Drosophila melanogaster: one gene and its partners. The protein of the gene in region 1 interacts with the protein of each later gene in a pairwise test. Each region holds a gene or a part of one and is shown in the gene's direction. Other genes may lie near its edges.

What was found. Proteins that work in one complex are often made in the same cells at the same time.
Region 2: the proteins of CG10154 (region 1) and Sik3 interact in a two-hybrid assay, tested with the Drosophila melanogaster proteins (one large-scale study listed by BioGRID).
Region 3: the proteins of CG10154 (region 1) and Nrt interact in a two-hybrid assay, tested with the Drosophila melanogaster proteins (one large-scale study listed by BioGRID).

The regions. Positions count from the first base shown.
Region 1 is NT_037436.4:13,434,641-13,438,824, reverse strand, and holds CG10154 (uncharacterized protein), read left to right. Parts: upstream 1-1,688; 5' UTR 1,689-1,728; coding exon 1,729-1,729; intron 1,730-1,793; coding exon 1,794-2,033; intron 2,034-2,119; coding exon 2,120-2,604; intron 2,605-2,746; coding exon 2,747-2,971; 3' UTR 2,972-3,145; downstream 3,146-4,184. Other genes in the region: CG10725 (uncharacterized protein), read right to left, coding at 1-74, 139-575, 634-780, 839-839.
Region 2 is NT_033778.4:18,686,283-18,691,647, forward strand, and holds the start of Sik3 (Salt-inducible kinase 3), read left to right. Parts: upstream 1-1,849; 5' UTR 1,850-2,268; exon of another isoform or gene 2,269-2,366; intron 2,367-5,365. Other genes in the region: CG44433 (uncharacterized protein), read right to left, coding at 1-334; CG42855 (uncharacterized protein), read left to right, coding at 1,167-1,397.
Region 3 is NT_037436.4:16,764,105-16,769,587, forward strand, and holds the start of Nrt (neurotactin), read left to right. Parts: upstream 1-1,967; 5' UTR 1,968-2,436; intron 2,437-5,483. UniProt on the Drosophila melanogaster protein: May mediate or modulate cell adhesion between embryonic cells during development.

The DNA.
Region 1 (4,184 bases):
GATGGACACTCAATGTCGGCGAGACGTGGCGGAGCTCGGGCAAAGGGCAGGATATTCCGTTGAAGGCTCTCCACCTGAATGAAATGAATAGGTTTTTATGTGGCTCCCAGAAAACTTCAGATAAAAAAAAACACGCACCGTGCAGTTGACTTTCGAGGGGAAATCGCAGCTCTGAGTGCTTGGATTGTACTGCAGGCCACTTGTGCAGTTCTGGACTTGAGGAAGACCATCCATGCAAATGTAGTACTTGTCACAGCGAGCCTTGCTGGGTATGAAAACGATGTCATCCGGATTATTATTCCGGCTGCACAGATTGTCCACGCAGTCGACATACTGCGGATAGTCACAGCGATCGGTCAGGGCGTTGTACTGCAGTCCATCGGAGCACTGACGGATCACCGGAGTGCCGTCGAAGCAGAGAACGTACTTGGTGCACGTGCGATCGTAACAGAACGATGACAAACCACGGTTCTTACAGGATCCAATACACTCGACCTCCATCAGGGGAACACACTCCTGATCCCTCGCATCGAAGTAGTAGTCCGTGGGGCATTCACGGGGTACAGCTATCTCATCTGGGATAGAAACATGATAATGCGGTGAACTAGATATCCACAGGTGCTGGTGACTTACTCATGCACAGGAAGTACTTGCTACAGTTGCCCACCTGGGGAACAAAGAGATTGTTGACCACATTGGAGCAGACATTGACATCGCCATCAGCAGCGCTACAGCTTCCAAGCAGGGCAACCAGTGCCAAAAGGGTCAGGCGACTTATCACTTTGGAAAATAAACCAAGTTAGATCATTTCGGTTCCATAGCTGCAATTCATACTCACTATTCAAGGTTGGTTTCCTGCGGTTACTATCGTCTTACCTCGAAAAACCCCTCCATTTATAGGCAAACTCACTTGCCATTCAATCTGCGATTTGTTTTGATTCCGTGCAAATTTCCAATCTTATCGGATGTGGATGCATGTTTCCATGTGGTAATTGGATTGTTCTTCCTCATTCAAATTCGTCTGGCGGAGATAAGTTCGGTGAACAAGAGCCAATATTCAGGAACATACACCTCTGTCAGCCATTAGGAAACACGTGTATTGATGAGTCACAGTTGATCATCGAACCACGGATCGCTCAAGATCCGATGTAATTGTTACAAGTGTTTGGAATATTTGGATAGGAAGCCCCATTACTTTGAAGATCTAGAAATTATTAAGTTGTAGTTTAGGTTTAAGATTTTCTTCAAGATATATGTATGTATATTTGTTGTACAGGAAGGAAATGCTCCTAGTTAATCCAAATAGAATGTATTATTCTATAAAATTATTTTTTATTTTATTTATTTTTCTTTTCATATCTTAATCGCTAGCGCAGTAATACTTTGAATGTTTAAACCACTCGTGCACTAAAGTGATAAAAAAAAAAACCACACGTGCAAGGAAATTAAAACACTTTTCATCGATATCCACGGGTTCTGGGAACCAGTCTATTTAAAACATTTCGACTATGACTATTATCGCCAAGTTTGGTGGTGACAAATTGAAAGTCGAAATGTTTGCAGAAATAATGGCGTAGTTTTCCTCTAGAGGAGTCGTGTGCCGAAATAACCTGGTTGATAAGTGTAAATTGGCAAAAACTCATTAGGCGATGAAAGAGAGTCGATATAAAATGAATATTTCCTGGCCTGATAGCAAACAGTTGTGGCACACAGTTCAAACTATCCAGGAGTAAGTTGCTCATGCGATGGGATTCCCTATAGTTCATTTACCTAATAAATCGTAATTTCCCAAGTGAAGTGGCTATTAAATGGGCTCCTACTACTATTCATCATTTTGATGGTTCATCGGAACCGGGCCGATGAAGATCTTGTAGTAGCTCCCGGTCCAGACGACGATGGTGAGGGCCTAAATGTTCAGGATAAGGATATTTACGATATGTACGAAAACACCCAGATAAATGTCTGCGGCAATGTGGCGGATGGCGTTTATTTGCCCTATGTTGGAAATTGCTCCAAATATATCGAGTGTGAAAGTGAGTTATATACACTAAAACATCACATAAGTTTTTAAAGCAAATGAAAAATATTTTTAATACATTAAACTATCCATGTATTTAAGACAATACTATTAAGGAAGTAGGCAGCTGCTTGGATTTGGCAAAGGATAATCCAGATATTTGCGATCCGAACAAGTCGTGTGAGCTGGGCTACGATCCTGTTCTCCAAGTGTGCACCTACATGGAGGAGGTACAGTGTCTGCCCACCTGTGAGTCGTTCCGATTGAGCAGCTTCTGCTACGACAACACCTGTACCAAGTACGTGCTTTGCTATTACGGCAAACCCGTGCTACGCCAATGCCACGATGGACTCCAGTACAACAACGCCACGGATCGCTGTGACTTCCCCGAGTATGTGGACTGTGTGGCCAACGACTGTTCCGCCACCTTCCAGCCAGAGGACATCATCTACCTGGGTAGTAAGGCATCATGCAGCAAGTATTACGTCTGTTCCAATGGTCATCCGTGGGAACAGCAGTGTGCTCCTGGCTTGGCCTACAATCCCAGCTGCAAGTGCTGCGACTTTGCCAAGAATGTTAACTGCACGGTGAGTAGAAAAAGTGAAAGTGGATTTTTTTCATTTCAAATATATATTTTTAAATTGATTGTTTTGGATTGGTTTAAAGTACATTTTATACTGCTTCTGGAGTAATTTAATAATTTATTTATTTATACCTAAATATCTCTAGATTGATGCTGTAGCCAGGAATATTCTGCCATATTCCCGAACCCCTCTGCGTCGTGCTGACATTAAGTGTCCCCTTATGGGAACTCACTTCTTCCCACACAAATCTCGCCGAGATGCATATTATTACTGCGTCGAAGGACGTGGAGTCACACTAGACTGCACTCCGGGTCTTTACTACGATCCCAAAGTGGAGGATTGCCGCAGACCTGAATTCGTTGGTGTCTAACTGAGTTTTCATAAATAAATAATTACAACCTGTTGCTTTTGATTTTCGATTTTATGAAATGATAAGAGATTTTGTGAATGTAAGAAGTGATACAAATTGTTTATTCTGAAATGTTTTTTAAAAGAGCACATAACATTTTTAGTGTCGTTATTTTAAAGATTTATTAAAGGGACCAATCATTTGGTGTAAGACTCTCTTATCATCCCAAGAAAGTTCCACTAGTAAGAAATGGAAAAAAATAAATTCAATTAATTTACCAATAAAATGTTTGCTACAAAACGTTACAATTTGAATTGGATGGCCCGTTCACAATGGTGTTTTGTAAACGGCGCATGTGCTGTGCAGCCACAGTGTTTATTTTCCAAAAAAGAGAGAAAGAGTGCTCCACAGAGCACCCCATTCATGCTCTTCTGGTTGCAAACGCCAACCACCCGCTCGCCCACCGAGTGGCACGGCCACATATACAGAAAGCAAAAACAAAACGCTGTCTGTTGGCAAAAAGGAAAAAGAGGAAAACCATCCGTGGGGGCGGTGGGAAGTGAAAGAGCGCTCTGCGAAACTCATGAAAGTGAAAACGAGCGCGACGCTGGCCCAGCTGCATTCACACATTCAGTTGGCTGCGAGTCCTTGCGCCGTTCGAATCGCAGGCGAATCACCCATCGTCCAACACACAACCTCACAACCACCCACCACCCACCGCCCACCTGCGTCTCGGGCCGCAAGGTTGGCAAAATACAATTATTCGAGCGCGAGTCAGCGGTGGCTGATTTTTTGAATTGAATCGAATTGAATTAAAGTGAATACAAAGTTCGCATGAGTCGCATGAGTCCTTCGTGTGACGAGCTCTTCGCAAAAAGGATATTTATTTGCCAAGCCAGCCTGCGTGTGTGTGTGTGTGTCATTTGTGTGTTTGTCGTGTCGGGTCAGTTGAGCGTTCAAGGACTCTGCTGCAGCAACTACAAAATAGCTTGAAAAACCAGTGCCAGAAACAACAATATGTGTGCAATAAATGCGAGAAACGTGACATCAACGTGCCAATAGGCAAAAGGCATTGAAAAGCTGAAAGGAACACCACGTTTCGGTGCGAACGAGAATCCGAGAAAATATTGCAGGTAAAAAGCTGAGTGAGTGATGCACTTGAAAACAACCCACATCTGCACATTCGCAGACAGAATCGCATGCAGTCAGCGCTCATTGCTCATACGCAGCGTGT
Region 2 (5,365 bases), on another chromosome or scaffold:
CATTGCTGGCGTTTTGATAGCCCCTTTGAAATTGCATTTGAGGATGCTGCTGCAGTCCGTAGTTTGGTATGAAGCTCTGAATCGAAGCGCTTTTTCGCTGGGATTTCATTAGCTGCCCTCGCAAACGACTCAATTTCCGGCTACTGACTTCCGGCGGAGCTAAAACCGCCATTCGCGGCATGGCGCCACCAAATTTGTTGCACACGGAATGCCAATATTCTGGCATAGCGGCAACTAATGGAGCTCGGGCGAATTGCTGCTGCTGCCACAGCTGCTGATAGGCATTCATCGAAGCCTGCTTGGCCGAATTAGTCAGTACCCTTCTCCGAACCATGCTGGATTTAATGGATTCTTATTGATTCGCTTGAGGTTTTGTTCTTCAACTGCTGACTCTGAAAGTTTCTGCTGGCTTGCTTTGCCGTTGAATAGTTTTTTTTTCTGGTTTAATTGGGGCTTGTGGGTTCATTGAAAATTTTGGATGCACTTTTGGTGCCATATCTGTTATTGGAAAAACCCTGACAATTGGTAAACGGCCTGCTATGAAATGTTTGTTTATAAGGCTATAGAACTGCAATATTTTGTTCATTCTTGTGATAAACAACATATTTTTATCAAAAAAAAAAAAAAAATTTATTTGTCCATTCAAGTAATATAAAACTTTCAATCTTAAATGTATTTTCAAAATATGGTTTTCAAATTAATTTAAATCGTTTAAATTCTGTCTTATATATATTCCTTAGTTTCTCGCAGTGGTGCACAAACTTTGAAATGACGTCACGCGACTCCTGGTGCGTAACTCATTTGGTCCTCTCGCTCATTCTTACTCTCTCTCTCTCTCCACCTACGCAATTTCCGTTTTAGTGGTGTAGTGAAATTCCCGGCTCCATTTTCATTCAGGTGGCTGCTGGTGGAAAGTTGAATCAACGGCCAGCTGGAAGGCATTCATTCATGGACGGGGTCCTTCCAAGATGCCACTTGGTTTCGTGCGTATTCCAAGCTGCGCAGGAAGTAGAAATTTCCGTTACAAAAGCAAGCGTCGAAAAGGACTTTCATGAACAGACAATCAAATAAACTCATTTCATTTACAAGTTTCAAGTGAACATAATCCAGTTTTCAGATTGTTCTATATTTTCCATAGATTTTTTAAGTTTTATTTCTCAAGAAAAATGGTCTCCTTTGGCGGTGTGGCAAAACTATTGAGCAGCTTCGAGTGCTGTGCCAGTTCGTGGGTCAAAGCCGTAAATCCCGGATGGTACGAGGCTCGTGAGATTCCGAAGACCATCCTGATCCAGAAAGTGCGACAGGTGCCCCAGAATACCAGGGTGATACGCCAGAGACCCCAAACCGCGGAGCCGCCCAAAAAATCCTCCAGCCAAAAGCGCCAACTTTATCTCTAAGCTCCAAAAAGTTGGGGAAATAATGACTCATTGGTTAGTATTTTACTAAAGCAATTGCTCTGATTCTTACCATATACTCTTTGATGGACGCCTGAAAGTATGCAGAGAAATCCAACCTTTTGTTAAGACTTTAAGCCTTGTAAATTGATGCAGAGAGGACTTCAAAATCTTACAAGCTATTAACTTTTATTTTATTACTATAAATTTAATGTTTTGTTTCTTTGTTTGCTTCCAGGCTAAACATTGTTTATATATTTTCAACAAGTCTAAAGCACACATATAATTTTCATTTACAGATTTAAGTGTTTTAATCGAATGTACATTGTATTGGTAAATATGTAACGAATTTAAATCTGCATTTAGTGTTGGCTAATATCCGCTTTCTTCCACAGAGTTGTCTCGCAGTCGTCATCGATTTCGTCATTTTGTCTGCTTCGCTACACGGCCACACTGAGTCGGTGCCGAGTTTTTGCTTCGCGAGCAGGTGGTGTTGTCCAATCAGAATCGCCGTAGACGGCACGAATAACAGAAAAAAATTCCAATAGAACAGCCGAGGGCGATTATTTATGTGTGTTCATGTTAAATGTTAAATGCAAAATTACGCGTCGCACGCTGCGCCCACGCGATTTCGAATCCGCATCCGATTGTTCAGTGCAAACACACACACACCAACCAAGTGAATATAATATGTAAGCGAAAGGCAAGAAGCCAGCAACAAAGCGCCAGTGATAAGCGCAATAATATAAATGCAATATAGTATAAATTCAACGTGAAAAGAAATCTCGCCAGCGAAATACAAAAAAAAGCGGAGGAAGCGACAAATGGAAATCAAGTAAAATGAAGAAGAGCGGAGAGATAGAAATCGTAATGTGTAAGCGCGACCAGAGCGTATGAAAAAATCGAAAAAAAAAAACGGTGGAGCGAAGATTAAATAAATTTACAAGTGTGTTTTGTATTTGACCAGCTTTTGTGAGTGTTGTTATTGTTGTTTTTGCGGAGGCTGAAAGAAAAGCGGAATAACAACAACACAGCAGCAGCAGCGCTGTTGCATGTGTGTGTGTGGTGAGCAACTATTTCCAGTGATGAGCGCGTGACACGATATGCGCTTCCACCAGTTCACAGCATAGAGTGCAATAAAAGAGCTCGTGACCCACGCGGCCATCTCGAATGGCCACCGAGATGCGGAAGCTAAAAACATATTCATGAATGGCAATTATGTGACGTGCGCTGCGGCAAGTTTTACCTTCGATTCCGAGCCGTGGAAAAAGGAAAACAAAAAAAATGCGCGTACGATTTTCCACTTTGGAAGTCGTGACGTTTTCCCATACATAACGGTGTGAGCGTGTACGAGTGTGTGTGTGGTTGTATGTTTGCGGTGGGGGCTCTCTGTCTCTCTCACTCGTTCGCTTTTATACGCATGTGTGTGTGTGCGTGCGTACGTCATTGCAACTCCGGTAAAACGCAAATAAGGGGCAGCGAAAAGCCAATTGCCGTTGAGTGGTCTAATTGGACACCTTGCGTATGCATTGTTTGTACTATTTACCATTTGGCGACCCGTTATCAATTGCAGGTGCTTTCTCCTGTAAACAGTGTGTGGTGTGTGTGAGTGCGTGCGACCTCGACAAGTTCTTTTTCATTCTTTTGTCGTCACACATATGCAATTGCACGGGAATAAAAGAAGTGTAGTGATCTTGAATAAAATCTTGTTTCATTAACTACAACACTGAAAGTCGAAATGGACATTCCTAAAATGAATTGATAGCTATTTTTGTATGGATTGAGCAAAAGCGAAAAGCCCAAATTCGTTTTGCTCAATCTTTACTGTTTTTTTAAAATTACTACTGAGAAGCAAAGAGTACGTTCTCATTATGTTTTGAATTTTAAATGAGTTTTGAGATTTTTTTTATCTCTAAAGCAAATATGTCACTGCGAATTAACCCAAGAAACCTTAAAAATGTTTTTATAAATGTTTTAAAATATATTTAAAAATCTGTAAAAATAACGTTCAATAGTATTTCTTTCAGTTTAGTTGGCTATTTCTTGGAGTTACAAAAATTATTTTGAAATTCATAGCACAGATCACATTTTCTCTTTGTGTATGCCCCAGTAATTGTAATTTTCATACGGGTTGCGGTAGTTTTCCTGTAAAATTCCTTGACTCCTTGGAGTCCCAAGCCCCCAAACACATACACAAGCTGTTGCTGCGCCCCCGCTCACGCACACATGCAAATGGGCGCCCTGCTGATAGTGCCTTCTCCCTCTTAGCTTTGTCAGTCGATGGAGAACCCACGATTGTCTCTCTTCTCGCATATTTGCTTTGCTCCGTCGCCCTATCCCTTTTTCTCTGCCCACTACCCACCGTTCGCCACCCCCACTCCCACTCGCCCCCTCTCTTTCCGTCTGCTTTTCTGTCTGGCTTTGGATGCTGTGTAAGTCCAAGTTCTCTAGTTGTTGTTGCTGCTGCTTTTGGTTTTTCGGCTCTCTTTTGCTTTCGGCTTGTTGCCTCATTTATTTTACTTGTCGTTTCTTTTTTGCCTTTCGCTTGCTGTTGTTTTTATTTTTTTAATCATTTTTGTCTCTCCGATTTGGTAAAAAAGAGTCAAAACAACTGCTAGTTATCAGCAAAATTGGCCAGATACGTTGAATACCCAACTCTTGCTTCAAAAGCAGTTTTAAAAGCGTTTTTTTCAAGTAGTAGGCACTTTTATGCTACTAAATGTTAAGGTTCTCTATGTTTATTTAAGGATATATTTACTGTAGCAGTTTAAAATCGGATAGTTCAAAGATTTACATATGTATAGGTTCAAATCACACTTTGCTTCAAATCAGTCTTTTGTATAATTCAATACTTTTTAACTTCCATTCAGCGAATTAAAGCTAGACTTTAATAATGATTCAATAAATTATTTAAATTATTTATAGTTTAAAAAAAATAATGAATAGAGTAACTCCTCTTTGAGTACACCGTGCGATACATATATAGTGGATTTTTAGCACCTTTGACCCGGTGACGTCTTTTACATCCCCACCACATAGTGCTGCGTGCTCTGTTTCCCTCTTACAGTCGCTCCCTCTCGCTCTGCGCTGGAAGTGTGTGTGGCTGGCTGGAAGCGAGGTCGCAGCCTCCCCGGCTTCAGTTAGCCGGAGAAGTATCTTCCAGGTTGGAAGTTCATTCAGTTTTGACTTTTGACTCCGTCCGCTTCGTACTTCGCGTGGTTCGGTCTGCGGTATGCCATTCGCTTGCTAATTCCACAAAAATTCTACAACTGTTTTGTGTCTTTCCACTGATAAATGCAAATAAACAATAGGAAAGCGTACGCGAAAACCTTTCAGAAATGTGAGAAAATCGGTGGATGTGAGAGGAAGCGAGAGGGTGAGGTGTCCAGCTGCCGCGGCTCTTTTCACACCCGCGAAATATCACGAGAAAGTTTTGGGGGAAAACAATTTGTTTGGATTATGCGAGTGTGTGGCGAGTGTTGGTTGGGTTAATGTTTGATCGTCGTCGTCGCCGCCTGCTTCCTCTTCTTCGCACACACTCTGGTCTAAATTGATTTCAATGAGCTTTTTGACGACTACCCCTCTCTGTTCCCCACCGCTATCACCGTCCCTTTCGCTTCACGATTATGTGCGAATGTGGCTGTGCAAGTGCCCGGTTTTCATACGACCTTGATGTTGTACATTAACCCATTGTGAGCCCCTATTACTCGCTGTCTCTTTCGCGCGATCAGCTTACAAAAAAAAAAAAAACAGACATGGGCCCTGTTTTCTTTTTTTATCGTGGTCTTAACGCGCTTCATTTTCTTAACGTTACACTGAAAACTTAAAACTATTCCTGCCTAATAAAAATATGTTCATTGAGTAAAATATCTACTTTTTCGTATTTGGAAAAATATCTTGAAAGTATTCTGAAAAAAAATTCTGAGATAATGTACTTTTTAAGCATAACAAAATTTTTTAACTAGTTTACT
Region 3 (5,483 bases), 3.3 Mb from region 1:
GAACAGAACTCCCTCGAATTTCTTGAAGTCTTCGTTTTCGGTTTCCACACGTTTCCGGTTCAAATTTAAATTAAACTTGTTAATTATTCCATCCGAAGAACAACCCACACAAGACAGGAACATGTGTTCACTACTCCACTTCCTTTCCTTGGGCGTCCCACATTTTGCGGGTTTCCTCGTTACCATTTGCGATCATGATAATGATCCGATGCGATCATTTTGATCCTTCCCCTTCGACGTGACGGGCATGCGTCAAACTCAAATACGTATGTAACTCGAGCCAACCTTCACTTTTATTTTCTAGTTTCCTACCATATTTATTCCTTTTTTTCGGTAGCAGATGTCGCCTAACATCATGTCTAATGAAATGCTTCAGTAGCTCCACAATGAAATAGGGAACCCTCATAGTTCGGGGCGTGAAAGTTGTTGACATGTGGGTAGGAATTCCGTGGGGTAATACCTTTGGAAGAACAGGGGAATCGACTTCTAATACATTTCTAGCACGTGTCGTCATGGCTTCTGTTCTAATAATTCAACCGACACAAGTTCAATATAAATATTAAACTATGTACATACATAGGTATACAATGAAAATATTGAAATATTGAAAAATATTTACCAAACACTTTAGTTAAATGGGTAGCCTAATTGTCTGAAGACATATCTCCTACATTAGTTGATTACTCATAAATCATAAGCGTAACATTTTTATAAAATAGAGCACATACTATATAGTAATTGAAAGTATAATACTGGGGGAGTGCCCTTTATTAAATAAACTGCAACAACGTATGTTTTTCTCATAACTGTGGATGAATCATTCTGTTGATTTGCGTATCGCTCAAAATAAATGCATTAAAATCTTCTTTATAGTTTTCATTGCGCAAAAGTTGATTGAAAGAATCATTATATTTTGTCTTTCTTACCAAATAAGTGAATTTTCTCAGGGGTAGGGATATGAAACCCTATGCGAAAAGGGGTGTTGGGTTGGAGGTAGCCAAGGGTAAGGGTTTGTGCTGTAATGACGCATCAGGACGTGGAATTTCCCTACATATGCCAGATGTTCCCATCGGCATAAACTGCGCTTCAACACTTGCCGCCAGTTGATAAGCATTTGAAAACGAGTTTCAAAAACCGAAATCAAAACCTTTACTCAAACAAAAGTGCCATATCAACAAACTTCTTTCCCTTCCCCTTGCCAGCTTCCCTCTCTTTTTAAGAAAAATTAATAACAAAGAAATATAGGGAGATCGGCATCTACTTCTATTTGAAGCATGTACAACTCAGAAATTTTTAATAACTTTAAGTTTTATATTTATAAAGAGCTGTAGACTACGTAATACCTCTACTTTGGGTTTTGGGTGTTGACTTGAACAATTTATAACAATTTTACCCTATGTTCTCCTACATGTTCTATAAAGTATCTGATCTGATCATAATATCTGAGGTGTCTTGTTTCACTAACAATAAACGCTTTACCAAAACTACAATACCTTTTTCATAAAATCACCATCGAACATTTTGCACTTACTGTACAGGAAAACAAAGCCGCTACTTTTACTGCTGCTTTCCAGCCACCCCTATGATTTATAAATTTACAATGCCGGCTGCTTCCAGTTCCAGTGCACAGTGGTCCAGTTCGAACTAAATCATAAACATGAATTATGATCATGTCTAATAAGTTTAATTAAATTACTTATAAAATATTACAACAATTCGTTGTGTAGGTGTTTTCAATGCTAATCACTGTTGCTTGACATAATTTGTATACTATTATAAACTTACAAGTTATATCTTAAATTATGTTTTTTCTTTTTTTCAAGAGAGAAACATGTTCTCGCCGAAAACACGTTCCACTTCCAGTTCCCCGAATAAAAACAAATCCAAGAAAATTAACATTAACAGTTGCTGTTAAGACTCTGTTAACCGTTTCGAAGCCGCATGAATTGCATGACATCGAAACGGCGTCAGTCAGTTTTGTTCTGTTTTGGAAGCCGCACGCGTTTTCCCTCGCTCCGGTTGTGCTCGCTTTCGCATCGCACACACACACACACTCTCGCCGCACAGACGCGACCAAAAGAAAACAAAATCAAATTCGGCGCAAACAAGGAATAACTTTTTATATTCCTATTGTGCATCGTATGTTGTATTAAGTGCAAGAAATATATTTACACAAATCTAACAAAAACACCGCAACTACTTTTGTGCATTTTGTTTTGCTCTGTGCCGAAGGAGCGGAGAAAAGAAAAAACCGCAACAAATCAAAAAATCTGTGCGTTTGTTATACACACCTAAGTGTCCTGCAGGAAGGACATCGGGTTCATTTACGCCACCCGCTGTTTTCAAGGACCAACGGATTATTCCCAATTGCCACATTTCAACAAGTTCGAAAAAAGCAACACACATTTTACACAGTGTTTGCGAGAATTGAAAAAGGTAAGATTACAAATTCGTGTGAAGGACCTCGGGGATTTGTAGAAGAGGAAGAGCAGTTGAAAACAAATCGATGAATTGTAAATGAAGTCAAATTTGTCTGCCAACTTTAATAATTTAACAAGTGAATATGGACACTTCAAACTTGAAAGATTAAAATGTGATTATAATTGAATAAAACAATTTACATGCATATTTATTTAGTTTTATACAAATGTAAAGATTTTGGCCAAAAAGTTTATTGAAAAACGCTAATGCCGTAGCAATTGAAATCTGAGTTATTTGTGAAAAGTAGAAGATAAAAGATATAAGAGCTTAATTTGAAAACTTTTAAAATATGTCGGTATCCGATCTTGACGGCTCTAAATTAATTTATAATCCTCCACAATCCATAATTACCGAGGAAACATCTTACCAAAACAATTTAAATGGCGTCTCGAAAAACATTTCATTCCGAGCTCTTAATAAGATTAATGGGGCTTCACGATTCATTGATATAATCCCTCCGTAACGAAGCACACCCACCCCATCGTCATCATCATCTTACGCGTCTTGAGGTCTAATGGCTCGTGTCAATGATCAGACGGACTCTTTCCCTCAATAATTCCCATTTTCCATCCTTTCTAATGGCTTGTGTCGCGGCTCCGTATGAAAAACATAACCATTTGACATAAATCACGGCCCTGACAAATCCTTTTGAACATTTCATAAACATAATGTGTGTTAATCCTCAGATATTTCAATCCATCAACATCCAGAGTTTGGTGGATGGAGTTGCCCCAAAAATAGCGCGACCCCTTTGGTATCATTTGTATGCACAGTCAGACGCCGGCTTGAATAAATCCCCAAATAGTCATTCCGTAAACAAATGCAAAGGAAATTGTTGAAGGGATACGGATACCGGGAAAAAGGGCAATAATTCAATGATGAATTAATAGGCGCATGGAAATGATCACGAATTCCCGGGATCTTCAGAGAAAGTTCGAGTTGGCAGCTGCTGCTCTTCGATTCGCTCCAGAAAAAGAAAAAAAGACTTCCGGGGAATCGAGCAACTAAAAAGTGAGAAAAGCATCAACAAAGCCAAACAGAGGCACAACAAATGGGGTAGGAAAACGTGAAGATGCCACGCTGACGCAACATTTGCATTCGGAAAGAGATTTATGGAGGCAACTCCCCCGCCCATTGACTTTTCGCTCCAACTTCCCTCATTGTTTTGCCAAGTTTTCAAAAGACAAGAGCCGACATGATGATGTTGATGTGTGTGCCTCAGTATCTCATTTTCCCAATTTACCCCAAAATGTGTGTAATCAAAAGTTTTCGTCTTTACAATTCAATTTTAAATTGTTGTTCCTATGTAAGTGTTGCCTGCTTTCCACTCGAAAAGTAAACAACAATTAAGGAAAAACACAACAAGGCAAATGCAACAAGAATACAAAGCACGATTTTCAACACTTTTTCTCGCTCTCAATGATAAACAAAACTCGGCTATTTACATCTGGAGTTCATGGTCAAACAGTTTAAACAAAAATGGAGTTTTCATTTAGGAAATTGTAAATCCATCAGCAATAAGAACTTGAGAGTCAAGTGCTGCGATACGATCCCAAAACTCGAATCCCCTCAAGAGCTGCTGACAATTGACTAATGAGGGTTACAAGAAACCCCAGCGCAAATCATAAATATTTGTTGTTGACAATTCCAATGGCCCTGCAAGGAGCCTGGCTTCAAGGAATTCTCAGGGTTCTTATCGCGGAGGAAATCTTCGCTTATCTGCCTGAAAAAGGCAACGTGGTGCTAGAAAATATTGTGCAATAAAATGGAATGATATAGTGGAAGGACAGCCATGAGTTGTGAGGAAGGCAGTGTATGCAGACTTAACAGATACCCAGTACTTCCATTTAAGAAACAACTAATTGCATACATAATATTGGTTAAATGCACCAGGAACTTCGTGGTTCAATGCACTCAGTTAATGTTATAACATTCTCCAACAAATATTCTTGAATATAAGATATAAGATGTGTCTACCTCATCAAATCCAAGAGTACGCGGTATGCACAAACATTGAACCAACCAACGCAACTCAGGGCTATCCTATCCCATATCTTCAAGAGTTGTTTGCCCCTCGAGAGTAATTACAAATTCATAAAAATGGCCTGTTTGAAGTGGAAATCTCGTTCCGATTTTGTTTGCTCTTCCCACTCCAAACTCCATTTATTCCATTTTTGTTGTGCCAATCCCCTTGTCCTGGAACTAGGCGCCTTCCGCTGATCCTTTGAGGTTTGTGGGACTCTGTGCCCCTTTACCAGTTTCCGCTCTCTACCTGCCCCAGGAGATTGTTATCCATCAAAATAAAATGAGGGGAGACGACTGTGAATTCGCATCGCACGTGTATAAACCTTTGAGTCTTGCGGTTTCTGGTTTCTGCCCCTTTTGTACTGGAAATAAATTCAGTCTTATATTTCTTATGAATTATTATAGTATGTCCTCAAGTAGTTCTTAACAAACAAGTTTGTATATTTTTAAAGGTTTTCAACATTTGTTGCAACTTGCGATCTATCTTACCTATGTTTCTTCTTTATTTTTTCTAAGTGTTTCTCATGCTCCAGTGAACTTCACTCCCCCTTCATCTTTCCGACCCCTTCCGCATTGTTCTTTGAACACGTGTCAGCTTTGATCATTAATCACCCTTCTTTTGATTGCCTGGCGAATATGTGGCTCATCATTTTCCATTCTCCCACTTGGCCAACTTCAATAAATTGCCATGAAATTAAGCAACTTGAACAAAAATCCACAACACGGCATGATAAATCGTTAGATCAGAATATTTAAAGTTAATTTTAAAATGACCAGAGGCCATGTTATAAAGCAGGAGAAGGAGGAGGAGGAGACCCAATCCCCACCAGAAGTCCATTAGCATGGCGTCCGGATGACAAATTGACTTCGTTAGAAGTTTGCGATTTCCCTCGATGTCTGCCTCTTTTCCGACGTGGAAATTGGAGGCGCAAATTGAAAGATTATTATGCCTGAGGTTATTGAATCTAAATCGCTGA